Tamandua tetradactyla: one gene and its partners. The protein of the gene in region 1 purifies or fractionates together with the protein of each later gene. This does not show direct contact. Links are inferred from orthologs where the notes say so. Each region holds a gene or a part of one and is shown in the gene's direction. Other genes may lie near its edges. The genes, in order: TNS2, DTNB, DMD and CSK.

Region 1 (7,163 bases):
TGTATCCAAAACTGTTCTTTCCCAATCCCCTCCTCTCCCCCCTGTTAAAACAGGAAACAGGGATTGATTTATGTCCAGCTCCTGAATACGTGTAAAATTTGTACAAAAATATCTTCTATGAAAATGATTTGTAATCTGTAGACTTAATACCTGGGAGATGTCTTGAGATGTAAAATCCCCATCCTTTGGGTTGTGGGGTTTTTTTGTTTTCTCCAAATAAATCTGATCTTTAAAGTTCATTTTTATGTTGAAATTCTTTCACATACACCCGTACTCCCAGGGCTTTTATTGGACTTAATATTGATTGTCTGTCCTGTCCTCCCACCATCCCACCATCTCATTCAGGTTTAGGTACCATTTCATGTAAGACCAAAGGATAGAACTACAAGGGAATCTTCCTCAACACTTATTGAGGTCCAGGGCAGAATTTGCCTTCCAGCTGCCCCTTTGGCATTTTTTGCCTGGTGTCCTTTCCTCACCTTTTTTTTTTTAAATAAGCTTAAATTTAGAATATTTTTACATTGTACAGGAAAATTGTTTAGATAGTACAGAGTCCCTTATACACCACACCCAGGCTGCCGAATTTTCTTTTTTATTGTTATACTTAACAATACAGAGTCTGGGAATAAATCTTCACATCTTTAGAACAGTTCCTCCATAAATCTCTATCCTTAAGTAGTCCAAAGCTGCTACCTTGCTGGGTTATATCTTGAGTTCCCATTGACAGGATGGTCTGGGCTAGCACAACTGAGGCCACTTTTTCTTAACCAGTCCTGTGGGAAACGATTGTTGCAAGACAGGAAATGGATTAGCACAGTGGCAGAGAGTCCCTAAGGTCACAAAGGGGTGGAGTATAGAAGGTATACCAGAAAAAATCAGTGGACAATGTTGCAGACCTTGAGCAGGACCAATTGAAGCAATTGCTCTTCCAGGATTCTTTCTGTGCATTGATCACTCTTCTCCAAAGCTAACAAAATAGGGGCCAGTGTGCTGTGATGATGCAAGACTTTTCAGTGTGGGTTTAGGGAGGAAGAAAAAGATGTTCCTGCACAGACTGTAGGGAAAGTGAGCACTTGGTTAACGCAGTCACTTTTCTCCAAACCTTCAATTCTAGCGATTTCCCTACCTATGTAACACTGAGTTCTGGATAAATGGTGGAAAGGAGGAGGACTCCAATGGGAAAGGCTAATTTGAAAGGATAAGGAGGAAGGCACTCCCGTAGCATGTCCCAAAAGGAGATCCTAAGTTCAAGGAAATACTTGGCTCTGGTATGCCCCACATAATCATAGAACAATGTGCAGGCCCTCCCATAAGTCCAGCTGCAGAAATGGATGCTAGGACCATCCATTTGTTCTGTACTAATGTAAATGCTGAGCAACCAGAAAGGGGGGGGGGGGGGGGAGAGGATACAGGTGCAGCAACCTACTTAAAAGGTCATTAGGTTTGATGGCCCCATGTGTATTTCAGTCCACCTAGTCAAATTTCTCCTAAGCAAAGCCAAGTACTGTTCTGGGTCCCATGGCAATGAGGGCTCCAGTTATTGTTAAGGGCGTCACCCCAAGTACCACACCAGGTCACAGCACCTGACTTCTCAGGAAGTGGAAGAGCTTGTGCACATCTGCTCCTCAGAAGCACAATTTGTCAAATAAACCTTGTTCCTCAGCAACTACTATAGCCCCCCAGGGCCACAAGTGAAAGGAAGACTTGCCTTCCCACCCTCTCCCTCTCTCCTAAAAAGAAGGAGTTTGGAAGGGTCGAACTGTACTGCTCCCCGCCCAGCTGCAGCCACCTCCCGGTTGGACAATACACTCTCTGTCCTCAGCCGGGAGATCCGCCTCTGGAGTCAGCTCTGCCCCTTCCCCCGCTCTTCCTGGTTCCCAGTGCCCAAACCCCTCCACTGAAGTTCCCCTGACCCAGTGCTCTTCCAGCCAGGGCAGCCCCACACCCTAAATGTCCCCTCTCCCCTCAAAGTAGTCCCTTCCCCACCAAAGATCTGACCACACCCAGTCACAGGCATGAGATCACCCCGGATCATGGAAGAGGAGGTTCAGCCTTCAGTGCCAAGATTGGCTGCCCTCTGCATAGTCAAGGTAAGAAAACCTGCAGGGGGGAGGGGGGAGGGGGGCCCCTGAAATTGTTTCACCCTTTTAATAACAGCCTCCTGGCTTTCTCCTCCCTTTCCTCTTCCCTTCTGAAGCTCCCACTGCTCTGGGCTGGTAATCGAGATACCTGGCTGGCTCCCTGCACCACCCATTTTTATTTCAACCCCACTAAACCACCTGCTGTATCACTCCCAACCTTGCTCATCAGCTTCCTTCACCCTCCTTCCTCCAGCCCCCATCTCCTTAGTCACAATGTTGAGAAGAGGAATCATGTCTGAGCTAGGGGTTCAGCTACCCATCTTGTAACCCTCTCCCAACTTCTTGGGAATTCAAAAGTTCCTCTTATGGCCCCACCAGGCTGGGCAGCAATACCAGCATGACTGTGAGGTCCTAGCCCTGCTCACTTCTCTCTTCTGAGTCCCAGTATTTCCCTTGGTATATACCTTTAGAGATTAGAGCCTACCCCCCTGGCATGCATCCCAGTCCCCAGCCAAAGATCCTAGTGAACCCTGGAAGGGGCAAAATGTTAACAAAAAGGGGGGGGGGGGGCAAATGTAGGCTCCAAAGAAATGAAGACATTTCCACACCTTGTCTCTGGATTACATTACCAAATCTTGCCAAAAGACACAAAAGGACCTTCAGCTCTGACCTTTTTCCCAGTAATCTTCAATCTCTTGCTCTCTTCAGTCTTCTCCTAACTCCTGCCTCTCCCTTTCCCCCAGCGCCTTCCCTTCCCACACAGCTCCTTACCCTCACATTCCCCTGTGACCCCCACTGATCTAACCCCTGAACCTGCCTACTGGACACTAATGCAACCAAAAGTGGTAAAATCAAAGCTCCTCAGGTCTCAGCTACATCCATCCCCTCCCAAATGCCAGCCTCTGGGGTCTTCACAGTCTCTTCCCTATGCCAGCTTGGAATCAGGTGCTCCACCTCCTCGGACACAGTTGAAAGATGCGGGGGGAAGGGACAGAGGGCCTCAGAGCTAGTAGTGCTGACTGCCTTGGACAGGCACTGGGCATTGTGCCTTGGACACTGGCTTCTCAGAATCTGCCTTTCCACCCCAGTTTTCATCACGGAAACTCCAGTGGGGAGGGTGAAGGAGGGAGAAAGTTTCCGGAAGTGCTCACTGCTAAAGAACGTTGTTGGAATTTAGTACCGGCAATAGGCTCAAGAGCTTCTAGGAGGACATTCCCTCCCTTATCCCTACCCTCCAGATCCCTCCTCCATGGTAATAACTTCCAATTGTACTGGGGAAGCCCAGGGCTTGTATTAAATGTGAGAAGACCCTCTTGAGTAGAAGTCTCCAAGGGAGTGGGAATGATAGTGCAAAGCTAAAACAGGTGGTGGATGGGACTGCTGGAGCTGCCTGGGGGTGCGGTGTAGCACCAGTAAGTTTCCTGTGAGCCAGAGAAGCAGGAAAGGGTGTCCAGCGGCTTGGGAAACAAACACCTGGTGTCTTCACCTGATCTGAGCTCCCCAGACAGCAGGCCGCAGATGTGCTCTGCCTGGGGCTTTGGGGTCAGACCCAGTCCCAAGAACACTCCTGGGGGAGGACAAGTTTTTCTGTCCTTGTTTCTAGCCACCTTCTCTTCAGCATCTCTTTGGAGCGCGTGTCTTTTGCCTGTGTCCTGCCGGGTCAGTCTCTCCCGGACTCCCTGTCGCCATTTCTGGGTCTCTCCGGTCTCTGAGATGTTCCCCGTCGCTGTGTTCTCGGTACCCGTCTTTCTCAAAATCTCGCTCCCCATCTCTTAGTCTCTTTCCATCTTTCCCAGCCTCGGCCTCTCTCCGTATTCCTCTTCCTGCCCATCTCTTTTTGAGTCTGAGTTCGCGGTGGAAGGTGGGGAGAAGAGAGAGAAAGGAGAGAGGACGAGGGGCGGGGAGCGGGCGGAACGTGGGGATTGGAGCCGGGGCGCAGGAGGGAGGGACGGAGCCGCCGCGGGCGCGGGGAGCGGTGGAGGCGGGAGGGAGCCGAGTCGAGCGCGGCGCGCCCGCTCCCTCCTCCTCCTCCTCCACCTCCTCCACCTCCTCCACCTCCTCCTCCTCCTCCTCCTCCTCCTGGTCCCGCTCGGCGCGGGCCGGGGCGGGATGGGCTGGCCCGGAGGCGCCCCCTGCTGCTGCCCCGCCCCGGCGCGCCCCCGCCCCCCCGGGCGCCCCCCGCAGGTGAGTGGCCGCGCCGCGCTGGGCGGGAGGGCGGTGGCATCTGCGTCACGGCCGGCCGGGTAGTGCCAGGGGCGGTCGCCAGGGGGCGCGGGGTCGCCGGGGGTCGAGTGGGCGCGGGGAGTGGGGTGGGCGCCATTGGGCTGAGGTTAGGGCCCGAGGTCAAGGGCAGTTAGAGGCCAGGAAGTTAGAGGCCAGGAAGGTGGCCAGGGGGGCGGGTCCCGGCCGGCCGGAGGTCACACTCCGACCGTCACGGCTTCACGTGTCCCGGGCGCACACGTTGCCGTTGCCGGGAACAGGCACGGTGAAGCAAGTTGCCTGGACACACATAGTTCCCAACCCAGGTGGGCAGGAGCTGGCAGCGGCACTCAGGACCTGGCCTGGGAGAAGTGTGTGCGAGTGTTTTCCTTTTCTGCTTCACATCTGGAGAAACTAAGGCAGAGAGCAGGCACAGATGAGACTGATTGGACTTTCCAGCCCCATTCCACACATCAGCCAGTCTGCTTCTACCCTCAGTTCTCAGATCCCTCTGGATACACCCATTTACTCGGCCTTGCCTCCATCTCTCCTTCCCTGGGCCTCACCCTTCTTCCATGGCTGGGCCCTGGGCTCTCAGCCTCATATCCAACCACAGTTATTTCCAGGAAGTGGGATGGTGTGGGTGGAGGGGGTTTCTCCAAACAAACCCAGAGCTTGGGAGAGAGGGCCAGGCGGGAGCCAACAAGGGCCCTGGAATGTTCCAGGCAGAAGGAAGGCAAGAGCTCTAGGGCGGCTGATGATGCCCCCCCACCCATCCCCCACCCTCCCGCTGAGCTGCGTTTCCTTTCAGGCACTTTTCATGATCCCTATCTTCCCTGAGAGGTGCTTCACAGGGGGTGCAGAGGACTCACAGCCAAGTCAGTCCCAGCCCAGGCCACCCACCTCAGGGGCTGGTGAGTGCCCCACTCCCTCACTGCAAACACTGCTCAGGCAGCTCCTTGCTGGGCCTGTGTGGGGAGAGTCTGAGACCAGTTAGGGTCAGAGGGCATTTGAGAACCTGTCCCCTCGTGAAGTGCTCTGCCAGGTGAGGAGATTGTTCAGCCCCTCTGGAAACAGTAGCAGTAGAAGCTTACAGAAGAGATCCTGGTCAGTCATATATGCAGTAGGAACAGGGAAAAGCCCCTGGCCACAGTGCCTCTCCTCCCCCAATCAGCGATGCGTTCTAGACCAGGCCAGTCCCAGTTGCCCACACTGGCCAGGGGCCTGGAATGTCCTGGGACCCAGCCAGGGTTCCTGGGGGAGAGAGCATTAGAGCCAGAGCCCCTCTCTAGTTACAGGCTGGGGGCCCATGCCTTGTCACACAGATGCCACCCACTGACCAAGATACCCTGGGGACAGACTTCCTGGCCTGGAGAATCTTTTAGGAAAAGGCGTCAGGCTAGCCCCAGCCCATCCAGTCCCACAGAAGTGTCTTTGGTGTGCTCCAGACCACATGGACATGAGGGAGGGGGAGGGAAGTGGAAGGGTCCCACTGGGAGAAGCTGGAGTTGGGGGAGTTGCCTGAGCCGCTGGGACATTCAGTAAATGCCATGCAAATAGAGCAGGGCACATTCGCACATTCTTTCAAATGACAGGGCTGTGGTTCAAGGTTTGGGGCTGAGGACCCTTAGGTCATTAACCCTGATGTTTTCCGAAGATTACTACCTCCTTTCCAAGGCCCATCCACCCCCTTCCCTTGACTCTGAGGACAGGAAATTGGCCATGTTCCCAGGAGGGAGGCAGGAGGCCCACAGAGGGGTTGGAGTGTGTGTTGGGAGGGGGACCTCCTGTCCAGTCCTCAGGCCCTAGGACGCAGGCGGCTGAGGGAGGAGAGCAGAGCTAGAACCATGGAGGTAGTACTCAGGCTCTGGGGAGGCAGCGGGGCGAGGGCCCGGTGCTGGGGGCCTGGGATGGAAGGCTGAAGTTGCAGGACTTGAAAAGTGGGGGGCTAGGGACCTGTCAGGTCGGGCCTGAAACAACCCAGACAATGGGTGAGTGGGGGGAGCAGCTGCGGCTCTCACGGGCTCTCAGGAGAAAGGCCTCCAATGCCTTGGGCCATGGCTGGAGGATGGACCACTCGTGTGGGCAGCGCAGCCTTCCTGCTGGGACTTGGCCTTGGAATGGGTAGGGGTGGAGAGGCAGCCGGGGTGGGGAAGCAGTGCGTGTTTTCCTTTCCCTACTTCACAACCAGTGACATGAGGCAGAGAGCTGGCCCTCGGTCCCGTCTGCCCTGACTCCCAGGAGCCACACTCGGGGCCCCTCAGGATGCACTCAGTCAGCATTCTGCGGACCCTGAGCCAGCATGGTTCCCAGTCCCACCCTCCTCCCACCGGAAGTCCCAGGAGGGCCTGAGAGTCCAGGCGGGGACGCTTGCCTGGACACGGTGTTCCCCACTGGCCCTTGAGACCTGCCCTGAGACCTCGATTCCCACCCCACCCCCACCCCGCCTCATGGGGGGCCGGATCTCAGGACCGGGCATGGCTGTAGATCCCTGAGCAAGATGAACCCCGGGAACACTCCACAGGGGCCTGGCAGCTGATGAGGCTGGAGCCCAAAGGTTCCTGCACTGACATCCCAGCAGGATAGATCCTGGGAATCTGATCTCCTGGTCTCCCCCACATCCTCTTCCCCCGCCTCCACTTCCTGGAGCAGCGACCTGCCCCCTTCCCGTCTGCACTCCCCGCCACTTCCAGGGCCGGGCTTCTCGCACCAGGCAGACAGCCTACCCTCCGCCCAGGGGAAGCGGCTGCCTCCGCCAGGCCGCTTCCAGGAAGCCCTGGGCCCGGCCCCAGCATTGTTCAGGTCCCGCGGCCAGCAACCCGGCCAGCCGGACACCATGAAGTCCAGCGGCCCCGTGGAGAGGCTGCTCAGAGCCCTAGGGAG
Region 2 (7,902 bases), on another chromosome or scaffold:
ACCCTTTTTCTAATTGGTTGTCTCTCATGCATATTTTTAAACAAAGTTTGAATCATACTATACATAGCATCTTACTATTTGGTTTGGCTTAGCAGAATTTCCTGAATACTCTCTGTGACGTGGGAGACATTCTTTTATAGCACGATTTTGATGGCTGTGGAAGTTTCTATCTTATGGATATTTCATAGTTTAGTTAATCATTAAACTTTTTTTTTTTTCAGTTTTGGATTTTGGAAGTAACTGTGGTAAATGTCCTAATGCATAAATCCGATTACACATCATCATGTTAGAGTCCTTCAGAGAAACTGAACCAACTGAAAGAGAAAGAGAGAGAGAGGGAGAGAGGGAAGGAAGGAATGAGAAAGGAAAGAGAGAGAGAGAGAACACGATTTATGAGATTTATTATAGGAATTGGCTCACACAGCTGTGGGAATCAGCAAGTCCAAATTTTGTAGGGCTGGAAATTCCAGTGAAAATGATGTTGAATTCCCCAGGAGAAGCTTGCTGGCTGGAGAAGAGGCAGAAATTCTTTCTGATTTCTGAAATCCTTAGTTCTCACTTTAAGACCTCCAACTGATTGGATGAGACTTCTTTCATTGTTGAAGGCGATCTCCTCAGTTGATTGTAGGTGCAGTCAATGGACTAATAATGTAAATCCATTCACGTATACCTTCACAGTAACAATCAGGTCAGTGTTTGCTTGACTAAACAACTGGACACCAAAACCTGCCCAAGATGACACATTAAATTAGCCATCAACCAGTGAATATTTTTATAAGATAAATTCCAAGAATTGAGATTCCTGGGTCAAATAACATCAATATTTTAAGGAGTTTGACATGTATTTCCAAATCACCCTCCAGAAAGTTTGTATCATTTACATTTCTTAAAAAAGAATTTTAACACTGGCTATTAGAATTGAAAAATTTTTGCTTGCTTAATTTGCAAATAAATATTAGCAAAAAAGATAATTTAGATTTTAAAATATGTTTATTGGTTTGTTTGTTTCTTCTTTTCCTGGTATTGATTCTTTTTTTTCCCCAGTTAAAAAAATTTTTCTTTTCATTTAAAAAAATGATTTATTGGAGTTTATTCTAGCAGTTTATAATTCATGCATTGGACAGTATCCATATTGCATGTGGAAAGGAGCTCTGCTGGGGGAGTGGAAAGGGGAAGCTTATAGAAGAAACAAGCTTCTTCTGTAAGTAAGCAAAGGAAATATTCTGGTTGGCTCCAAGGTGGGAAGCAGATCTGCACTGATGACTATGGTCTGCTTGTCCATCCTGATAAACCATCTCTACTGGACTGATACTGGTTTATCACCAGGCACTGCTTATCTGCAGTTCTGTGGGGTACACTCCATTGTTCCATTTTCTCAGATTGCTCCCGCTGGTTAATTGTTTTTGTCTTCTGGAAAATCCTTTCTCGGAAAGAATGTAAATCCATTCACGTATACAGAACATTAAAACATCAGCAGTAAGCTAGACAAAACTTATCTCTATTCTTTATCAGTCCTAGGTGATGAATCCTCGTTCCACTCAGTCTGTGTTAGCAATCTCATGATCCCATCGGTTTCTTCATTAGAATTCTGGAATCTTTACTCAGTCCAGTGATATGATCTTAATGTCATCAGAAGCCTGTGCTCCAGACTACCTGGCACAGCATTTTCCATTGGTCTCGAAACAATTCTTTTTGTTGAGCATGAAGCACTCTGGCCTGTGTTTGATTGCAAGTGCTTTCAGGGGACCTGCAGAGTAAAACCTCCTTTGACCCCTTGGCATAATGAGTACTTTCCACCTGGCTTCTCAGGGCCTCCGGAAGCTGCCAGGGCTCTCCTTCACAGCCCACCAAAACTGTTAAAATAAAAACCTTAGGCTATCAGTTATGGGAGTTTATTTGCACAATTTACGATTCATGAATTATAAATTCATCCAAACCGCACATGGAAAGGAGCTCCAGTTATTGTTCAGGTTATTGCTGGTATTAGACTAAGGGTATGTCAGAGTACCATGTTCAAAATTACTTGGTTTATTTCCTTCTTCATTGCTATTATGTTATTCTTTTGAAATACAATTTTGTTTGTTTGTTTCTGTTTGCATTCAGTTATGGGTTTTAAATTTTTCCTATCCTTGTTTATTTTTTGAATAATGCATGTAACGTTTCACAGTCTACACTACACCAAAAGATAAACTCAGAGAAGTGTCCTTGCCATCATATCTCTCCCATCTCATCCCTCACTCAATCCCTTGTAGGTAACTAATTTCATTTTTTTTTCTGATTTATTGTTCTTGTATTTTTTTTTAGTAAAACAAGCAAATTCATTCTATTTTCTTATTTCTTTTCTTTATTACAGGAGAGGTAAAATACTATATATTTGCATTTGCACTTTGCTTTTATCACTTAGTAATATATCCTGGAAACTGCTATAAAGTTAGTTCACGAAGCTTTTTCTTTTTTACTGCATCCTAGTAACCCATCGTTTGGATGTATCATGGTTTATTTAATCAGACTTCCATGTTTGGGCATTTAGGTAGTTTCCAATATTTTACCACTAAAATAATGCTGCAATGAGGAGTCTTATATGCATGAGTACATACCTATTTTTTTTTTTGAGAATTCTTTAGAATAAAATCCTAGAAGTGGAAGTGCCAGGCTGAAAGGTAAATATATATATTATTTTGTTAGATATTGCCAAATGCACTCCTATAGATATTGTATTATATAGTTCGTTCCCTTCAGCAATATGCATTTCCCCATAACCTAACCAAGAGAGTACGCCTTGAGTGGAATACTGTCTAGTTATCCCATCACCATTTCTTAGACAGTCTATCTTTGCCCCAGCTAGTTGACCGTTTATCATATGCTTGATTTTCATACATCCTTGATGTGATTTCTGGACTTTTATTTTGCTCCACTGGTCTGCCTATTCATGTGCTAGAACCACATTGTTTTCATTAAAGATGCTCTGCAGCATGTTTCAATATTTGGTAGGCTAGCCTCCTTTCAGAGTTCATCCTTTTTTTTTCCTCCTAGAGTTTTAAAATATTTCTTTAATTAGGGTTATCTTATTTTTTCTATTATGAAAATGGCATATTTTAAAGTACACCACAGCATTTAGTTATAGAATGGATTTCAGAGTTTGGTATGGGTTACAATTTCAAAATTTTGTTTTTTTCTACCTTCTCCAATATACTGGAGACTAAAAGAAATATCAATATAATGATTCAGCAGTTGTGCTCATTTGTTAAATACTATCTTCTGTTTTATAACTCCACTTTCTACTTTGATCTTTCTCCCAATCTTTAGGGGTATTTTGGCTATGTCCATTCTAACGTTTTCATGTTGGAAAAGGTTGTTGATAATATGGGATAGAGAGATGAAACTAGCTGATGTTCTGGAGAGGCTGGTCTCTCTGTGTTTCAGGACTTATCTGGCTTAAGAACCCTTCTGGATGTTGTAGGCTTCTGGAAAGTAATCATAGTTCCAGGAAATTTTGTAGGTCTCTGCTAAAGCCCTAGGTGTTCTTTAAAGTTGGTAGGAATGCTTTTTTTTAAAAAAATTAATTTAATTTGTATTATCAAACCAAAACAACATACAAACATGAACAGTCTTAACATACAAACATTCTGTGCATCACATAGTAGTATATTCATCACCAGGATCATTTTTTAGAACATTTGCATCACTCCAGAAAAAGGAATAAAAACAAAAAAGAAAAAACGCATACATACTGTACTCCTTACCCCTCCCTCTCATTGACCACTAGTGTTTCCATCTACTCAATATATTTTAACCTTTGTTTCCCTCATAGTTCATCCTTTACAGTGTTTTTTTTCTTGTATGTTAATTTTGTATTCTGCCATGTTGTTGATTTTTTTAAAATCACTGATTCTCTAAAATCCTTGGCTTGCCTCTTCTTTCCTTAAGTTTCTAGAAAATACTGAAAGTGGTGTACCACTGTCTCCTTGCTTTGTGTGTTGCTCTCGAGAAGTCTGATGCCATTGAGTTTGACTACCAGTCTCCTTAACAAGCTACTCATCTGAAAAAGTAATAGCTTCAAAAAAGAACCAATATTATTTTAATTTCAAAATTTGGGGGTCAGGAATTTGGGAAGAGGTTGGCTGGATGGTTGTTCCATCAGCAGTATTCAGCTAACAGCTGGGCCCGTCTAAGGGTTCACAGTGACATCCTCACGTGCCTTGTGCACTGAGGGGGTGTCCCAAATGCTGGGCGCAGCAAGGCCTTCTCCCTTCCCATGCAGTCCCAGGGCCACTCCCCAGGCAGTTAGATTTTCTTAACAGTGGCTTGTGGCTCCAAGAGCAGGTATTCCCAAAGAGCAGGTAAATGCTTCAAGGCTTCTAATAACCCTGCCTTGGCAGTCTCAGAACATCATTTATGCCACATTCTATTGCTTAAGCACTTCACTAAAGCAAGCCTGGGTTGAAGGAGCAGCAAAGAATTTGCAGCCATCTTTAATCTTGCTGCAGCCTAGTTTTCTACCCTAGTTTTCAAATTGCTTAAAGCAATTTGAATCATTTGCCTGGAAACCCTGAGGATTATTATTAATCCTTCTGTCTAATAGGATAGCTTTCTGAGCTAACCACTTTGTGGCAGTTTTACGAGGTACGTTGTGGACTCTTTCATTATGTAGGTTTATGTTTTCTTTTATTTTCAGAAAGTTACTTGGGTTATAGTTTTAAATATTAGTGCTGTTCCATTGTTTTGTTTTTCTTTTTCAGGAACCTCGGTTACTCATACCTTGGGTATTCTTTGCTTCTGTTGAAATGACATTCCAACCAGAGAGACAAACAAATACGAAAGCATGGAGGTAAGAGAAAGTAGGAACATTCCAGAAATGGATGGCATGTGTGTACAGGGAGCAAACAGAGATGGGTGTGGAGAAGTAGGCAAGGGCTAGATTAGTGGAAAATTCCTATGCTGTGCTGAGGACTTGTAATTTCATCCTGAATGTAATGTGGAGGCAATATAGGACTATGTACTATATTACTGTAAATAATGTACTATGGACTGTAAATTTTTAAAAAATTATTTATTAATTAAAAAATTAAGAAACCAAAAAATCAACATATATAATCAGTAATTCACAATATCATCATTTAGTTGCATATTTATCATTTCTTAGAAAATTTGCATTAATTCAGAAAAAGAAATAAAAAGACAATAGAAAAAGAAATAAAAAGAACACAGGAAAGGAAAAAAAAAATATTATACCTACCATACCCCTTACCCCTCACTTTCATTGATCACTAGCATTTCAAACTAAATTTATTTTAGCATTTGTTCCCCCATTATTAATTTTTATTCCATATGTTCTACTCTGTTGTTGACAAGGTAGATAAAAGGAGCATCAGACACAAGGTTTTCACAATCACACAGTCACATTGTGACAGCTACATCATTATTCAATCATCCTCAAGAAACATGGCTACTGGAACACAGCTCTACATTTTCAGGCAGTTCCCTCCAGCCTCTCCATTACATCTTGAATAACAAGATGATATCTACTTGATGCATAAGAATAACCTCCAGGATAACCTCTCAACTCTGTTTGGAATCTCTCAGCCATCGACACTTTGTCTCATTTCCCTCTTCCCCCTTTTGGTCGAGAAGGTTTTCTCAATCCCTTGATGCTAAGTCTCAGCACATTCTAGGATTTCTGTCCCACGTTGCCTGGAAGGTCCACACCCCTGGGAGTCATGTCCCACGTAGACAGGGGGAGGGTGGTGAGACTGCTCATCGTGTTGGCTGGAGAGAGAGGCCACATCTGAGCAACAAAAGAGGCTCTCTTGGGGGTGACTTTTAGGCCTAAATTTTAAGTAGACTTGACCTATCCTTTGTGGGGTTAAGTTTCATATGAACAAACCCCAAGACTGGGGGCTTAGCCTATAGCTTTGGTTGTCCACACTGCTTGTGAGAATATCAAGAATTCAACTTGGGGAAGTTGAATTTCTCCCTGTTCTCACCATTCCCCAAAGGGGGCTTTGCAAATACTTTTACACTCACTGATCGAATCACTCTGGGATTCATCGGGGCATCACTCTGGACAAACCAACAAAATCTCATGTCCTACCTGAGATTCCAAGTACTTATGGCGTTCAATCAAACTATCTACATGGACTGTAAATTTTGAAAATTTTCTCTGACCTGCAGTATGGAAGAGAGATCGGAAGGAGCAAGACTACAGGAGTGTGGTAGTCAGGTTCAGTTGTCAACTTGGCTAAGTGAAGGTACATAGATCTGTTGCTGTGGACATGAGCCAATGGTACGTGAACCTCATCTGTTGCTGATTACATCTGTAGTCGGCTAGGAGGCGTGCCTGCTGCAATGAATGATGTTTGATTTAATTGGCTGGTGCTTAAATGAGAGAGCACAACATAGCACAGCCCAAGCACCTCAGTATACCTCATCTCAGCACTCGCAACTCAACCCAGGCCTTTAGAGATACAGAAAGGAATCACCCCAGGGAAAATTGTTGGAACCCAGAGGCCTGGAGAGAAGGCCAGCAGAGACCATCCTGTACCTTCCCACATAAGAAAGAACCTCAGTTGAAAGTTAGCTGCCTTTTCTCAGAAGAACTAATGAAATAAATCCCCTTTTATCAAAAGCCAATCTGTCTCTTGTGTGTTGCATTACAGCAGCTAGCAAACTAGAACAAGGAGAAAGAATGGTTAGAATGCTGTTGCATTAGTCTAAGTGAGAGGGGCTGAAGGTTCTAGAGTTATTCACGAGGGTGAATCAACGAGATGTAGTGACTGATTGGGTATGGTAGGGAGGGTGAGGACAAGCTCAAGGATGGCTCCCTGGCTTCTGAATTGGGCAAATGGGTGGACAGTGGTGCTAAACAGTTTTATAAATATAGAGCTTGAGGTATCTCTAGGACCTCTCAGGTAGAGAAGTCTGGTAGACTGTTGTATAGGGAACCCAGGTGAGTGGCTGACATGGAGATAATGTGTGTGGGAGTTGCTGATACCTGTGGTGGGTGAGGACAGAGGGTGAATGCAATGGCTCAGTGATAAAGTATGGGGTGAGCTGAGGGGTGAGGACAGTGCTGTGGAGACTGAGAGCCATGAGAGGGCTTAAGAGAGGAGTTGTGTACTGATGGCCAAGGGAGTTTCAGAAACAGTGGAGCACTGTGTGGTGAAATGCCACTGAGTGCTCTAGTAGTATGGGGCCTCAAAAGTGGCTTTTGGGATTTAGGCCATTAGTTGAGAGCAGGGCAGCCCTGTGGTGGGGACAGAGGCTGCATAACCACAGCTAAGGAATGAGAAGCTGCTGAAAACAGAAGGAAGAGCAGACTGCTTTCAAGACATTTGACTGTGAAGGGAAATATGGCGAGGTGGGGGCAGGATCTGGAGTACAGATAGGCTTCTTTCTTTTTCTCTAAGACATGAAAAGTAGGAGCATTTATAGATGCTGAAGGAAAAGGACAAATAGGTAAGAGAGGCTGACACACAATTTTGGAGGTGAGAGGGAAGAATGAATGAAATATGTTTGAAAGAAGTTTTCTGAGAATTTGGGAGTTGATGAAATACAGAACAGAGAAGGTGAGATGCTAATACAACTTCACTTAAAGTTTCTGCTTCCCCAAATGTTTATAATAGCCTAGCCCACATACTGAAATTACCTTGGCTTCAATCAATAGGGCAAAGAGAGCAAGCAATATTTACATATTTATTCTACATCATTTACACATCTGTTCTCCAAAAGAAAAGATCAATTTTTTACTCTTTCAATGCTTCCCATTAGTGAGTCCCTAATAAATGGTAATTGGATAAACTAAATGTCTCTTATCTGTACTTAGTATTTTAACATATTCAGAACAGTCAAGACCCTGAATACAGCAAAAAAGTCTCCTAAGTAGGCAAAATAGTTGCAAAATTT
Region 3 (8,140 bases), on another chromosome or scaffold:
ATTTTATGAAAATATCAGCAAAATTTTTGTTGGAATCCTGTCTTATTTTTCTGGTCTCAGTGCCTCTAAACTAGCATATTTTTCCCACTGGCAGTAACTAAAGATAGATTAAAAAGGAAAAAAAAATCTAAGAAATATAAGCCTTTAATAGAAGGCATCATTTCATATTTCAATAAATATGGATCGTTGGGAGGGGAGACAGAAGTGGCCAAACATGATTTTTTCCCTAAATCAATAGAATTGTGAACTTTATATAAATAGTTTAGGAGGTATGTTTCTTTCGAGCCTGTTATCCTATGAAACTGTATTAAACTTAAAGTTTGAAATTATTAAGCTTAATGTTTGAAATTGTTAAACAATTGAATAAGGGGCGAATGATTCAGCCCCTTCTCAATTTATCAAAAAAAACTTCTTTAGGGTTTTCAATTATTTAAGAATTCATTCCTATCTTGTTCCCTTTTACTTTTAGAGTACTAGGCTCTTTATTAGTAATTTGACTTCTGTTTTACAATACAGGGATTATTAATTTTGGAATATAAACAAGGCCAGTTTTCATTTTCTAACATGTACCATAAAACTGGAGGCCAAAAAAAGAATCATTAAAAAATATACTGATGTATGCATTCAATGTCATATAAATTTTACTTTGTGTTTTTGGACAAAGTATAGGTCTCTATCAATTTCTCTGTTAACAGTTATAACCTTAACATTTAAAATGATTTCAAGATCATATGCATATGGTATTTACTTAACTGTATACATTTAATTATTTTAATGTGCTTCTTTTTCAAAACTGTACTTCTGTACGTTATGCTGTGCTTTGTGTTCTTTGTGCAAACATACACATGAGAAAGAGAAGGCCATCACATATGTATTTGAAATGTGAAAATATAGTTTAATCACAATAAAATTACTGTTAAGCAAAGCATGATGAAAGAAATTTTTAAAATGTAGTATAATCAGAGATATACTGTCTTCATAGACTGAACTTCTCAACAGGGTAAGGATGCTAATTCTATATACTTGATGAAATTCTTATGAGAACACCAGTAATATATGTTGCAGACCTATCTGTAGACCTATCTGTGGATAAGCTTATTCCGAAACTTGTATAGGAAGACACAGAGTCTATAACTACTAGAGATATTTTAAAAAGAAGAAAATATGATTAAAATGCTTAGCCTTGTAGTATAACTATGGAAATTAAGACTGTGTGTTATTGGCAGAGGGATAGACGCATAGAACAATGGTGTAGAATCTCAATCTCAGAGATAGATACACATAAATATGCCTAGCTTATATTTGAAAAAATTATAAATGTAATTCAGTGGACGAAGGACAGTCTTTTCAACAAATGGTGCTAGACTTTGATACAAAAAAAGGAAAAGGAAACTGAATCTAAACCTCATACATTATATACGGATGAACTCAAGGTGAATCAGAGATTTCAGTTTCAATATAATGTAAAATATTAGAAAAACACGTGAGAAAATCTTTGCGATTTAAAACTTGATGAAGAATTCTGTATGTGACACCAAAAGCACCATTCATCAAAGAAAATATTTATCGAGATCGATGACTTTTGCTTTGCAAAAGACCCTGTTAAAAGAATGTAAATACAAGTTATAGACTACGAGAAAATGTTTGTAAGCCACATATCAAAGAAAAGACTCACACCTATCATATATAAAGAACTCTCCAATCTCAGAGGTGGGAAAAAAAAGAAAATCCAGTTTCCAATTTTGAGAAAAGACTTTAAACAGGCTTTATAGAAGAGGATATCTGGATGGTAAACAAGCACATAAAAAAAAAAATGTTCAACATCATTAACCACTAGGGGAATTCAAATTAAAAGCAACCTGAGATATCCCTATTCAATTAAGACTAAAAGAAGAAAGAAAACAGAAAGTTGACCACACCAAATTCTGGTGACGATATGGAGAAACTGAAGCACTCATTCATTGCTAGTAGATATATAAATGGCACAGCACCTCTAGGAAAGACGTTGACAGTTTCTTAACGAAACTAAACACATACTTACAACAGAACCCAGTACTTGCACTCTTGGGCATTAATCCCAGAGAAACTAAAAAGAAATATATACATTTTTGCAGTTTCAGAAAAAAGCAGTCACGTTCACATAACTCGGCAGTTGGACACCTGGACACTGATCCCAGAGAAATGAAGACAAATAAATCTGTACATGATTGGTTTCTGGCTTTATTTATAATAGCCCCAAACTGGAAACAACCAGAATATCTTCCAGCAATGAATGGTTCAACAAACTGGTTGCCTGCAAGTCGATGCAGGCAATAACTTAAATGGATTTCAAGGACATTATGCAGAGTGAAAAAAAGCCAATCTCAAAACATTACACACTATATGATTCCATTTACCCAACCCTCTTGAAATGATAAAATTATAAAGAAGAGATTAGTGTTTGCCAGGTTTTAGGGATGGTGGGGTAAGGGTGGCCAGTGTGCCTCTAAAGGGGTAACATGAGAAATATCTTTGCAATGGAATATTTCTGTACTTTGTGTGAAAAAATGACAGATATATACAAACATTGCACTACTGTCGGTTTCCTGGTTTTGTCCATAGTCATATAAGATGTAACCTATGCATTAAATTTGATAAAGGATGTATGAGAGGTCATCCACTGTCTTTGCAACTTCCTGTGAATAATTATTTCAAAGTAAAAAGTTACAATAATTTTTTCAAAACCTGCCAGTTATAAACTAAGAGAACATGCATAAGTTCCTTGACTGGTCATATTTATATTTGGACTCCTAAGAACTTCCAGATACAGATATTGTGATGACTAAAAGAAAATACGCAACTAAGGGCCACAGGAAAATAATTTGAAGGTCATAAAATTCTTTGACTGTTTGAGCTGATTTTTCTTTCATGTACCTTTCCATTTTTCCACTTACCTTAAGCATGTCTTCACACTAGATTCTAAAACTTCAAGGGAAGCGTACCTATTGCACATATAGCAGAATTTACTCTAGGTACCCAGTAAATTACTGATTATTGATTAATACTGAAATAGAATTAAGATTTAGCTGAGAGCATTCAGATTCAGTGTTTGGCACTTTGGATTTTACCTAAGATCGGAGGCCTAGTTGTTTGTTTTTAGAATCATATACTTCACGGCTTCTCAAACTTGAGCATGCTTTAGAATCACCTGTAAAACACAAAGTGCCGGGGGCTACCCTCCGGAGTTTGTGATTTTCCAGGTCTCAGGGGTATTTGTATTTCTAATCTCCCAGATAATGCTCACGCTGCTGGTTTATGGACTGCACTTTAAGAATCACAGATGCACTATATATTGGACTGGGAATGTGTCTGGGTTTATGTGTCTAGAAATCTCACAGTTCAAAGTATAGAAGGACTTATACTTTAGGTGAAATTGTGCCCTAGAGTGCAGAAAGATATTGATGCTAACATGCAGAATTGGATCTATGTTGGTGCAAAAAGATTTGTTTATTTTATGAATGAATGGAAATGTTTGCTTGTATGCATTTTCATGCACCCAAACTGAGGGGAGATGAGGTAATCTATGTATAGGAAAATTTTAAATCTATCTTTGGATAATCGTAATTTAAATCTAAGTATCGCAAATTAAGAAGTAGGCCTTATGTTTTATTTCATTTAGGTCTTGTTGGGGAAAATGGTACTAATTATGATGATATTCTAAAATATATGGTGTGTAATTAACTATTAAGATAAACCTTGTAGATTGACTCAATGTCAATTTTTTTCAGTTTTGTCTATAATTTATTTCCGAGCCAACCAATTTAATGTTCAGCATAGAAATCTGAGTCTGTCACATTAAAAATTGTATTATGAAAAAACAAATAATTTTAGTAGGGATTCTTAGAATTGGAAAAGGAATATCTTTCTAAAATGAGTTATCAACAGTTCCTATAAATATTGGAGTCACCTGTTGCATTAAAACCATGATAAAGAGAAAGAAACCTATTATGGCAAAGCATGATTCCCAATACCACTGAATGACACATTTTACCCTTGTTCATTTAATGCAGAAAGAAGTCTCTGCTGAAAAACCTTTTAAAAATTGATCATTAACTCACTAAGAGAATAATGCATTAATAATTGCCACCGAACGCATCGAGGAAAGAGTAATTTGTTAGTAAATAAGTTTTATCACAGCCCACAATGAAAATTTACCAGTTCAGGAAGATTTCTTCATTCCATTGTAAGAGTGCTCTTTATTTTAGCAGAAAACTTGTCCCGTGAGACCTACACACATTCTGCCTTCAGAGCTCAGCTGTTACATTCTGCCTTTGCTTCTCTTACGCACACGGTTGGCATCATCAATGCATGATTTTTTTATTCGTTCCCAAGGGTAGAAATGAACTTCCATAGACGGTGGCTACAGAACAAATGCATAGATTATTCTGGGCATTTCTTTTGCATCAGCTGAGCGTTGTTTTTGTAGCATGGTTGTGAGGGAAAAAAAGAAAAAAGGTGTTTAAAAGTCCATTCTCCATCGGGATGTTATGCTCTTCCCTTGCAGAAATCTGCATAAAAGTTACAGAAAGTATTGTTTACAGCTTTGCACTGTAGAGTGTTTTGTGTGTTTTGAAGGCTTGGACAGCAGGCACTCGGTCTACTGAGCTATTCTGGTTTGAATATTCTTCAGAACACAGTTGAACATTATTTGAACTCACAGGACCTGCCATGCTGGAATCACAACCTTATATGTAGTGGCCGTGAGCAGTCCTATTATGGGAAACCAACTTGAGAGAAAAGGCAAGTCCCTTGCTTCTGCGCAGGTCCTGGAATTTCAAATATCCAGGGGCCTCTACAGAATCCTGGCATCAGATGCTATGTTGACTCACTCAGTGTCAGGATCACTCACTTTCCCCCTACAGGACTCAGATCTTGGAGGCAATTACCTTCAGAGAGAAATGAACAGGAAAAACTGAAGTGTAATTTGTTTTTTAAGGCTGCTGAAGTTTATTGGTTTCTCATCGTTCCCCAGCCTGCTGGAGCAATAAAGTTGGCAGAAATTTTTACCAAGATTTTTATTGCTGCCTTGATATATACTTTTTTTTTTTACCCCAAATGCTTTGGTGGGAAGAAGTAGAGGACTGTTGTAAGTACAGAGTAACTTAAAATGTCTTTTGCCACAGTATACGTTTTAGTTTGACAAGTGTACTGATGAGGCAGATTGACTTTTAATTTATTACAGTGTATGAATGAGCATAAATGTTGTCTGATGCATATATCGTAGGCCTGTCTGTGTGCAGATGTACATCTCATTAGGGAAACTTTTCAACAGAAATGAGGTAGGAGTTAGTATTTTTGCCTTTCGCAAAGAGAACCATTTTCATTGCTGTGAAATAGTTTGTGTGACTTGGCTATCGTGATTATGTGATATTTCTGAATTTTGTAAAACATACATGTGGGGTAGTTTCCTGACATGCGCGCTCAGTGAAATCATGTCTGTATGGGAATGAGGCAGGTGCCTCGAGGTTAGAAAAATTTGATCAGGCAGATCATGGGGAGATAATAAAGACTCAAGTGAATTGTAATAGAAACAAGGGAGGTTGAGCAAAGTATTGATAAAGATTTAACTAGAAGCTCCCGTCTCACCTTTCATTTAGTATTTCAGATGTTCATTTCTGTAGCATTTCATGAGAAATCTTTCAAATGATGATATAGGATCTGTGCTGGCAAAGGACCAGAAACTCTCTTGTTGAGAAAACATCAAAAGACAAGCGGATTTGCAATCAAATTTTGCAGTAAAGTTACTAAAGGCAGTTCACTGTTTCGTCTCTGTGATGACTTCCCTTTTCAGGAAAGCTTTTTAAATTTGGCTTTCATATAAAATGCAATTATTATATTTGTTTTGGGAAGAGTCATGATGACTACTGAAAAATCTGAAATTTGACTGTCATGCAATAGTAAAAAAAACTATGTGAAAATAATAAGTGATGAGGACAGTGTGTCCCAAAGACATGGCTAGAGATTATCATTTTTTCCTGTAACCTGTGGATTAGAGTCATTCTGAAATAGATTTGAGGGTAATGCCTATAATTAAGAATAGAAAACTAAATGTAAGTAACTTTACAACTTTTAGAGAAAGAGTCAGAAGAGCAGTTCTCCCTATGAGAAAAACTGGTGGGAATACATTTGTTCGTTTATTGATCCATGTTAGATGCTGCACAATTTCATAGTATAACATTTGTATCATTACTTTCTTTACAAAAACATGTGTAGCACATATTCTTTGCACACACCCCCATTTCTCATTTGATATTATTTCTTTTGGATCGTTATTTTCTAAATATTACAAGAATCATTATTTTATTAATACTACCAGAATTAATGACTGGTGATTTTATATATACATATATAATTTTTGCCTACAAAAACTAAACTCATACACTAGTGCGTAGGCCAACTTTTAGAGAACAGCAAAGATGCAATTCTGGAACAAAGAAAGGCAAACTATTCTCGGTTTTGCATAAATATTTAAATGAGTTTTGTAATTGTAATTGGATGAAAGCTAACTCCTTTTGGGATATGCCCTTGTGTATGACTTTAATATAGCATGTTTTCAAACCATCAGATAATGCTTATGCTACATGGCAGTGGGTGTCTTAAGAGCAAGTGGAGATATTCACAGGGTTACATTATACATTAAATTTTAATGGTTGAAAATATACTATTATCTGGATGTATTGACATTTGATTCCAGTTTTGAATATTGCCTTAATTTCAAAAAGACAGCAGAGTACAATAACATCTTATTTGGCTAGTGTTTTAACAGAACAGTTATCCTTTAAAAGTGAACATTGCCAAACTAACGCAAATATTGTTTACTTTTAGAATTACGCAAAAATGCATTGCCAAAAATTATTCACATATTTCCTAGCTGATATCCACCTCACTCAAATTTTTTAGAATGGTGTAAAACATGTTGGGTTCTAATAAAATCACCTTAAAATTTCACCTGTGTAGTTTTAAAAGGACACCTTAAATCTGTGAAAAAGAGGCTGCTGATCTAAATACATATTTCATAATTTAAGCAGCAGCTTTGGGTGTCTTGATCACATAGCATAGCATTATGATGAATGTAAGGAAAAAGTCCATGCAGATGTTACTATAAACTAAAAAGAAAACTACACAGCATTTTAAGGATATATAATTTTATCTAAGAAAAATAAAGTTTTCTAGTTGGACACTATTCCATCTAGAAAGTACTGAAATACAGAGATTCTTCTTAGTCCTAAAGAATTCATTTGAAATCCTTGTAGTCCAAATCAGTTACTACATGTGAAAGAAAATGTCAAGTTCGTAGCCACTTGCGTGATTTAATAAAATAGATTAAAATCTCTGTTGTCTTGGAAAAGTCAGGTGATTGTTTGAATGTTATTTTATTATCTGTCATGAGGGCTTTATCTCAGAATTTAAAACTTGATTTCCCAAACACTGCTTCCCTTTCCTCATTCTACCTTATTAGTTCCCTACCTTATTAAAAACGGTTCCTCATATTTTTCATTAAGCAATTATTTTTGCATTGCAAATACAACAAAGGTGGTATGTTGACCTGAGTCTGCATGTTTATATCAATACACATTTAAGTCACAGCATACCAAGTTTTTTAAGAAATTAATTGAAGTTAATTGGAAATTAAACTTTCTTTAAATATGCTATTTTCTGCTCATATTTTGTTTTCTGTTTTCAAAGCAGATCACATTTCAAGGAATTGACAAAACTAATGTGTGTACTCTATTCCACAAAACAAAAAATCATGAAGCGCAAATCCACATTTTAGGAAGACTGAGATTTTACAATCGGGGTTTATAAGAAAATATTTGAATAGAAAATTAGAGAGGGTCTTGGGAGGGTCCCATGCAAGTGAAGGGTCTCAAAGCTTAAGCTTTAGAGGTTTCATGGGAAATCACCTCTGTGTGAAGAGAGTCGTTGTCATTAAATCTTTTCCCAATTACATTTTAAGATCAAATTGCTAGTTCTGTTTCTTCGGGCACATGTTATTTCTCAAAGACAACCTTTTATTTAATGCGTATTAGTGGGTTAGCACAATTTAAGATGGTAGGAATTTGACATTTCTGCCTTTCATTCTGAAAAAATACATTGATTA
Region 4 (7,744 bases), on another chromosome or scaffold:
GAGAGGAGTTATCTGGGAGGCCGTGGCTTTGCCCTGAGTGCCCTGGGCTCTCTCCAGGTTCTGGCTCTTTCAGCTTCAGGTGGGTCCTTGCTTAGCATTTCCTGGTGTGTTTCTGTCTCCAAGCGTCTGTGCTTTCTCCAAAATGTCTCCTTCTTAAAGGACTCCAGTAAGCAGCTTAAAATACATCTTGAATGGGCAAGGTCACATCTCCATGGAAACAACCTAATCAAAAGGTCCCACCCAAGTAGGTCTGCCCCCACAAGATTGGATTAAAAGAACATGGCTTTTCTGGGGTACATAATAGATTCCAACCAACACACTCGGACATCCCCTTGGAGCACTCGGACTGAGCTTCTCAACTTGATGAGTCTACTGGAGACCGCCTGCTCCAGGGAAGAGGTCTGGGGAGAGGCCTGCTGGCTCCTGTTTTCCCAAGCCTTCAGCACCTGTGATGTCAGCTCAGCCATTCAACCTGTGGCCCCCGATGTTGAGATGACAGAGGCCACTGCGGCTATTGTTTCTCTGGTTTCTGTCTCTCCACAGGGGTTCTCAGCCCAGCACTGCTCTGCTCTGCTCTCCCTGGTCACTCTCCCCTTTAAGCCACACTTTCCACTGCTTGTACCTCTCACTCTCAACCCCAAGGGTCAGTGAGACCTGCAGTAGGGAAATGGGATTCACACCAGGCCTGGGTGATGCCAAAGCTGGGGACTTGTTCCCAGCACAGCTTTTTCCACCTTCCACAATCTCCTTCTGGAGAGGGCTTGATTCTCCAAGGAAATAGGCAGGAGCTCCCTGGTGAAGCCAGTGATCACAAGGCCTAAGAACAGCTACCCCAGCGGGAGGGCTGGCCTCCGAGGGGTCCCGTTTCCCCTGGGTCCCACCCCCACTGAAAGTGAGCAGAGATGGACCAGCGCCCTTTCCCAGCGAGCTCAGCAGCTCAGCCCCAGCACCTGCTCTGCAGGAAATAGAAAGGGACTTTGCAGAAAATCTGCCTTTAATCTTGGCTTCCTGTTTTCTGCCCCAGGGGACCGCCCAGAAGGTCTGAGTTTCAAACTATTTCACACCAGCTTCTCTAAACTGTCATCTTGGCGCAGTGAGGCTGGGGGAGGGGAAGAAGCAGGGTGGAGGAAGGAGGGGCCCTTCCCGTCCCCAGGGACTCAGACCCAGTCCAGCCATTAAATGCTTCAGCTCTGGACTTCTGGAGAGCCACCCAACTTTGCATAGAGCTGTCAGTCGACTCTCCTTTGTTCCAGCCACTTCTCGTCTCCCCTCTACTTCCACCAGAGCCCGCGCCTAACATCGCTGGCCTGGGCCAGGGTAACAGCGGTATTGGACGTCCTAACTGGCCTCTTCATTCTCTCCACCCTTCACTCTTAAGCCCCTCCCCCTTACTCCCCAACAACCAGAGAGGCCTTCTAAAACACATTTCAGATCATGCCACTCCCGGGCTTAAAATCCTTCTACAAGATTCGATGCAAACTCATGTAATAAAATCCCAGGCCCATAATGCCCTACAGGATCAGGCACTTGATTCTGGCCTTCCCTGCTTCCTCTCAGGCCACTCTCCCCTGCTTGCTGGTCTCACCACTTTGGCCTTCTGGATGTCCCCTGGCCGCAGAGCCCTTTTCAGCCTGGGTCTAAAACCTCCCGGTGCCCTAGGCTTGGAACATCTTCCCCCATTCCTCCAAGGTCTGGCTCCACCTTCTCCTCTGGGTCTCAAAGTGGAGAACCATCTCTCCATCCTGTCAAGCCCATCACGTGCTCAATTCCTTCATACCACTGTCTAATTACTGTTTATTTATTTACCCCCTTAGGCAAGAATCGGGGTGGTAGTAGTCATTCCTTCATCTTGAGCATCCAGAACAGGACCGAGCACTTAGTAGGTACTCACTAAGGATTTGCTGAATGAATGAATGAATGAGGAGGTTGGAGGTGACTTGTCTGGCACTCCCCCTAAAGGATAGCTCTATGGGCTGGAGCCTGTGACTGATCTGTTCAGGGTTTTAGCCCCAGTCCCTGGGGTGCAGAGAGGTTAAAAATCTTCCATCGACTCCTGTTGTGAGGTGGAGGCAGGATTCAAATGCAGGTCTATTTGACTCCAAAGTTCACAATCGGCGCATGCAGGAAAAGGGTCAAGTGTTTTGGGGGATGAAGGGGGTGGAGACAGGTTGGTGATGAAGCTCCTCAGGGATTGGAATATTTTTCTCCAAATCCTGACAGTCCCTTCTTTCCCATCCTGCCAACAGATTAGGCAGGGGGAGGGGAAGGAGATGTCAACCCCTCCATTCCAGAAGTCTCTGCTGAGCAGCTGAGGGCAGAGAGGCAGCCACCCCACCCCACCTCCATCCGGCCCCACCTTATCATTCCATCTAGATCTCCGGAGGAAAGAAAGGGAAATCAGCCCTGCTGAGCACCCTCCCCACGCACCCCTCGCCCACCCCCAGGCTCCTGTCTTGCTGAATCTGCACCACTTCCCTTGAGAAAGGTGTATTCTGAGCCTGGTTTTATAGAAGAGGAAACAGCTCAGAGACCTCAGGCAACTAACACGGCTAGTAAATGGACAAGCTGAGAGTTAACCCTGAGATTTGAACTTAAAACTCATGCTTTTTTTCCATTACACCACAGATATTTTTTTAGACTTCCTGGATATCTCCCCAAAGGGTAAGCATGTTACTGCTGTTTCTCTCCCCCAAAGGTCTGGCCCCTTGCTAGGAAGCTGACCCAGGGGCTTATTGGGTCAGAGGGACAACCTGTGGTTTCTCTGGGGTGGGGTGGGGGACATTCAACTCCTGCTCCTGGTATTCAAGACCCTTTGCAATCTGCAGCCACCATGTCTCCCCAGCACTATCTCCCACAGGGCCCTTCCCTGTCCCTTTTACTCCCTTGGCCCCTCCATATTTATTTTGGGTTCCAAAACTTTGCCAACATGCCTCACGTTCCCCACCAGGGAAGGCACCCTCCTCTCTGCCCACACAAGCCTGATGCTTCTGAACTCCTTCCTTTGACACTGGTATATTCAGTTTCCTCCACCACAGCCCCAACCCCCAACCCCAGCTCACACTGTCTGGTGGTCCTGTAGCTCAGAGCAGATCACTTTCCGCAAAGATATATATCAGCCAATACTTAATTAAGGACTCAACGTGTACCAGCCACTGCACACTAAGCACTTTAAATTTATTAACTCATTTCCTCCCTAAAAATCTTAAGATATTAGTGCTATGATTCTCCCCATTTTAACAAATGTGAACACTGAAGTACAGAGAAGTTAAGTAAATGACCCAAGGTCACACAGCTTTTAACAACTTCCTCATTGCCATAAGGCTGGAAATAAAGTCCAAGGAAGTCCCACAAGGCTCTTCGTGATTGCTCTTGCCCATGCTGCTTGCAGGGACCTCATCTCCTACCACTCTCACCTCACCACACCCCAAGCTGCTTGCTCTTTATAGTTCCCAGAAGTTTTCTCCTTTCTCACCTCTCCCTTGTCTTCCCCCATGCTGTTCCCTTTGCCTGGTGTCCCAGCTCTGTGAAGTCTCCCCATCAACCCTCCCTTCTTTTCTGCTTCCTGTGGACCTTGTACATCACCTCTCTACTTTTATCAATTATTTCTTTGCGATTTTCTTTTAACCTGTCAGTCTTCCCACCAGACTGAGATCTCCTAGAGAGCAATGAGTGAATGAATGAATGAACGCTCACTGCGGCCAGTGAGGCCCACCCCCTACAGACTGGAGGAGAGGCCCGGCCTCCATCGCTTCTACTTTGGGAAAGCTGACAAGAGAGCGCTCAGAGCTTGTTTCAAGGTGGGGTGGTCGACCCTCTGAGGGGGACCCTCAGGAGCCTCCAACACAGACAGGCCGGTGGGGGCAGGGCGTGGGCGCGGACACACCCCCCCCGCAGTGCCGCCGGCGCCCGGCAGGGGGCGTCGCCTCGCCGGCCCACGCCCCGCCGCACGCCGGGCAGGCCCCCTCGCGCAGGCGCGCTGCCGCGGGCGGAGGATCCGGGCCGCGCTTCCTCTCGCCAGGCCTGCGAGCTTCCTCCCAGCGGAGCCTCGGGCGAGCCGAGGTTGGCCGCCGCCGCCGCCGCCGAGACCGCCGCCGCCCTCCCGCTCCCGCCCCACCCCGTGCCCTGTCCCGGGGGGTCCTGCCGGGGTGGGGTCCGAGCGGGGAGACCGCCTGTCCCCACCGCCGTCGAGGCTGTACCCCGGCCAGCCGCCCCTCCCGCCCTAGGCAGCCTGTGGCCGCCGGAGCCTCCGGGACGTGGAGCGCGGGGAGCCCCCGCGGCCCCCGATAGAGCGTCAGGGGCGGCCCCTGGCAGCGGACGCGACCATCCGAAGTCGAGCTTGGGTAGCGGCGTTCGGAAGCGAAACTCTGCGGGGGCCGCGCCGGCTACATTGTTTCCTCCCCCCTACTCCCTCCCACCCCCCCTTCCCCCGTCTTTCTTCCCTCCCCGACCCGGCCGCGCAGCCTGCCCCCTGCCTCGGTCTGGCCGCCCTGCCTCCCCCCTCTCTCCGTCCCCGGACCTCTTGGCACGCACCCCCGAGGACCCCTGCGCCCCCCCTCCCCCCGGCCGCATGGACTGTCCCGCAGGCCGCTGATGCCGCCCGCGGCGAGTTGGTTCGGACCGCAGCGCCGGGAGAGAGGTGAGTGCCCGGCGGCCCGGGAGGAGGCGGGGTGTGAGTGTCCACCGAGGGAGGACGGTGGAGGTCGCACGTCCCGCTTCCGTGGCTGCCTCCGTCGCGTCCACTCCCATCCCCCATCTCCCTTATCCCCTCCTTCCCAGCTTCAAATTCTCCCGGGAGTCCCTGTCAGAACTGGACCGGGAGGGGAGCACGCGGGGAGAGCCACTGCCCTGCGAGCCACACAGACTTGGCCCAGGCCTACCCGAGTTCCCCCCCTTGTGGAGCTGGGGGGATGGGGGTGGGGGCGGTGGCTGGAGCCTGGTGCCAGGGTGGGCCAGGACCCTGATGTTGGACTCCATGGGAATTTGCTCTTCCATGGCCAGGTCCTCCCTGCAGGTGTCCTGGCCTGCATGGGTCTGACCCCTTCCCCACTCCCCACCGAGGCCTTGCTAGCTTCTGGCAGCCCAGGGCCCAGCCACTTCCCTTGAACCTTATCATAGGCCCAGGTCCTGGGTTGGAGCCTTTGACCCTCTGCCTCCCAGAAGACCAGGCCTGAGCTGAGAGACCTCTGACCCTTGGGCAGGGAAACTGGGCAGGGCCTCCATCCTGGGTGCAGGCGACACTGGACATTAGCACTGTGCCCTCACCTCCATGCAGCTTGGTCAGCCCATTCTCCCAGGTTCCCAGGGCCCAGGCCAGCTGTCAGGAATGGGCGTGTCCAGCCTCTGTATCCTTGGAATTTAACTAAGGGTTTACTTCCCCACCCATTTTATAGACCAAGGAAACGAGGCCCAAAGGGGGAAGTCACTACCCCCAGACCTTTGGCAGAGTTAGGATACCATCCTTTCATACCCCATCTCTGCAGAGCTGGGCTGCCATGGATGGAGGGGAGTCTGGAAGGCACCATCACCCACTAGGGACTAAGGTGGCCTAGGAGGGATGGTGCGGGGTGAGCACGTGCTCCTCTACAGAGGACTAGAGAGGAGGGTGAGGGCTTCCGGCCCCAGCTCCTCTGGTCTGTACTCAGCGTCAGCACTGTCTGTGGGATTTCCCCTTGGTGGCTGAGGCTAGGTCCCACTGGTAGGAGATGTGGTAGGTGTGAGGTGCGAACTGTGTGGTGTGTCAAGGATGCTGGAGTCCTGGACCCTGACTCTGAGCTGGAACAACTTGGTGGTCAGTAGTGTTCCAGCCCTCCTGCCCTCCCCACCTCCCCGGCCCCCCAGCACGGAAACAGCCAAGTTCAGAACAGGGATGGGCTCAGGATCAGGAAAATGGGAGCCCTGATACCACTGGTAGCTCCCTACACCCTTTGCATGGTCCATTGTCAGAATGGGAACACCCACAGGGCCTATTGCAAAACTCCGCACCCTGGGTGTCCCACTGTCTTAGCATGTCCACAGTAGGAACAGGGCAAAGGCAGCAAGTGTGAGGTTGGAAGTATGGCAGATTCATCTTTATCCTAGGAGGGGGTGGTCCCTGGAGGGTGCTGAGCAGTGCCTGGGCTTCCTTGGTTGGGGTTGCTGGCAGTTTTGTCTAACTCGAGGCCCCTGCCCTTGGTTTAGGGTTCTCTCCCTGCTGCTCCATCAGGGACATTAGAGGGGACCCAGCTGTCCTGGGCCCCAGCCCTAACTTCCTCACCAGCCTGTGGATGGGACCTGGCATGGTTAGATGCTTTTTATGAACCGTGGGCTGTGAGGATGAGGCGTGGAGTCCCAAGGCCATTGTAGAAGGTACTAGTGTGTGTGCAGTTTTCATTTGGGAAACTTGGTACCTTCCTCCCCCTCTGAAGGGGCTTTTCTTCTCTCTACATCAAATGGAAAGCATGAAAGGACCAGAAGATGTTCCCAGGGGACTCTGGGCCTAGAGAGCTTGAGCCTCAAGTGGGAGTGTCCCATGGCAAGGGTTGGAGAGAGGACACACCGAATGAGCACAGGTGTGACATGACTGCCCCCAAAAAGTCTCTGGGTGGTTTATTAGGGAATGTGGCCTAGTTGGGCAGGACAGCGTGTGTCTAGTTCTGGGCTCCATCTTTTGAGGTATTTTGGAGGATTGAGACCCAGTTCCCAAAGAACAGGAGTATTTGGTCTGGGAAAGAGAAGGTAAGGAGAGATTATTGGCTCTCCTCCTTGTGTGTCTGAGAAACTACTGTGTCCTGTAGTCAAGCAGTTGCCCTGTAGTGGAAAATGCTGGGGTCGTCTGCAGATGCCAGGATCTGAGCTGGGGGCAGGCCGGCTGCTACCTGAGTACTAATTTCTTAACTTTGAAAGTAACAAAACAGCACTACAGAAAATCTAGAAAGGAAAACAAAAATCACCCACTATTCCTTTACCTGACACAGTCATTATTAGCATTTTGGAGTTTCCTGCCAGCTTTTCCTGATTTCTTTTCTTACTGTTGCCGTTCGAATGTACAAGCCATGATGCCTTTTTTCATTTACTACTGGGGCCATAGGCATTTTCTCACATTCTGCACAGGCTAAGTAACTTTCCTCCTAAAAAGCTACAGAATATTCCAAATAGCTCTGCCAGAGCAACTTCACCCAAGCCCTGTTACTGAGCTTATGCATTGTTTCCCATTTATTAGTGGGGTGGTGTGGAGAGAATGCCTCCAGCAGGCTTTCTGGATGTGTGGTGGAGCTATTTGAGCTGTTTGAGCTGTTTGAGCCCTGGACCGAGTTGGCTAACTGCTTACCGGGCAGGGCTGAGGATGGCCCCTGCCCCAAGGTCCTCTGAACTGAGGTTCTGGGCTCCTATGACCAGTGCCTTGCCCCGCCTCCTGCCTTCCCCCTTCTTCATCACCATGTGATTGACCTGCCCTGGGAAGATGGGCTGCTGTTTGATTTCCGGGGCCTGACCCACCCCCCGCTTCCGGCCTCCCAGCACTAGAGCTGAGTGGACACAGGCCTCTTCTCTGAGAGCCTGGCTGCCTCCTGCCTCCCATCTAGGCTACTTCCTAGGGCAAGTATTTCCCCAGTGGGAATAGAGGTCCCCTCAGCCCCTTGGGGAAATTGAGACCTGGGCAAGGAACCCAGACGTTCTAAGCCCCAGGGGCAGCCATGCCAGCCTCATCTAGCTGAGAGTTGGAAGGAAACACAGAAGTCCTGCAGAGTCATTGAGGAACTCTCAGGTG

What was found.
Region 2: the proteins of TNS2 (region 1) and DTNB purify together in Homo sapiens (affinity purification with mass spectrometry; 3 studies listed by BioGRID and IntAct, with this or other methods). This does not show direct contact. The link is inferred for Tamandua tetradactyla from reciprocal best matches to the Homo sapiens genes TNS2 and DTNB.
Region 3: the proteins of TNS2 (region 1) and DMD purify together in Homo sapiens (affinity purification with mass spectrometry; 3 studies listed by BioGRID and IntAct, with this or other methods). This does not show direct contact. The link is inferred for Tamandua tetradactyla from reciprocal best matches to the Homo sapiens genes TNS2 and DMD.
Region 4: the proteins of TNS2 (region 1) and CSK purify together in Homo sapiens (affinity purification with mass spectrometry; 6 studies listed by BioGRID and IntAct, with this or other methods). This does not show direct contact. The link is inferred for Tamandua tetradactyla from reciprocal best matches to the Homo sapiens genes TNS2 and CSK.

Annotation. Positions count from the first base shown.
Region 1 is NC_135333.1:114,411,446-114,418,608, forward strand, and holds the start of TNS2 (tensin-2), read left to right. Parts: upstream 1-4,147; 5' UTR 4,148-4,190; coding exon 4,191-4,265; intron 4,266-6,038; exon of another isoform or gene 6,039-6,127; coding exon of another isoform or gene 6,128-6,133; intron 6,134-6,818; exon of another isoform or gene 6,819-7,116; coding exon of another isoform or gene 7,117-7,163. UniProt on the Homo sapiens protein: Tyrosine-protein phosphatase which regulates cell motility, proliferation and muscle-response to insulin. Phosphatase activity is mediated by binding to phosphatidylinositol-3,4,5-triphosphate (PtdIns(3,4,5)P3) via the SH2 domain.
Region 2 is NC_135329.1:9,284,850-9,292,751, reverse strand, and holds the start of DTNB (dystrobrevin beta), read left to right. Parts: upstream 1-4,739; 5' UTR 4,740-4,784; coding exon 4,785-4,828; intron 4,829-7,902.
Region 3 is NC_135353.1:140,599,417-140,607,556, forward strand, and holds the start of DMD (dystrophin), read left to right. Parts: upstream 1-4,811; 5' UTR 4,812-5,094; coding exon 5,095-5,125; intron 5,126-8,140. UniProt on the Homo sapiens protein: Anchors the extracellular matrix to the cytoskeleton via F-actin. Ligand for dystroglycan.
Region 4 is NC_135338.1:67,191,625-67,199,368, reverse strand, and holds the start of CSK (tyrosine-protein kinase CSK), read left to right. Parts: upstream 1-4,425; 5' UTR 4,426-4,636; intron 4,637-7,744. UniProt on the Homo sapiens protein: Non-receptor tyrosine-protein kinase that plays an important role in the regulation of cell growth, differentiation, migration and immune response.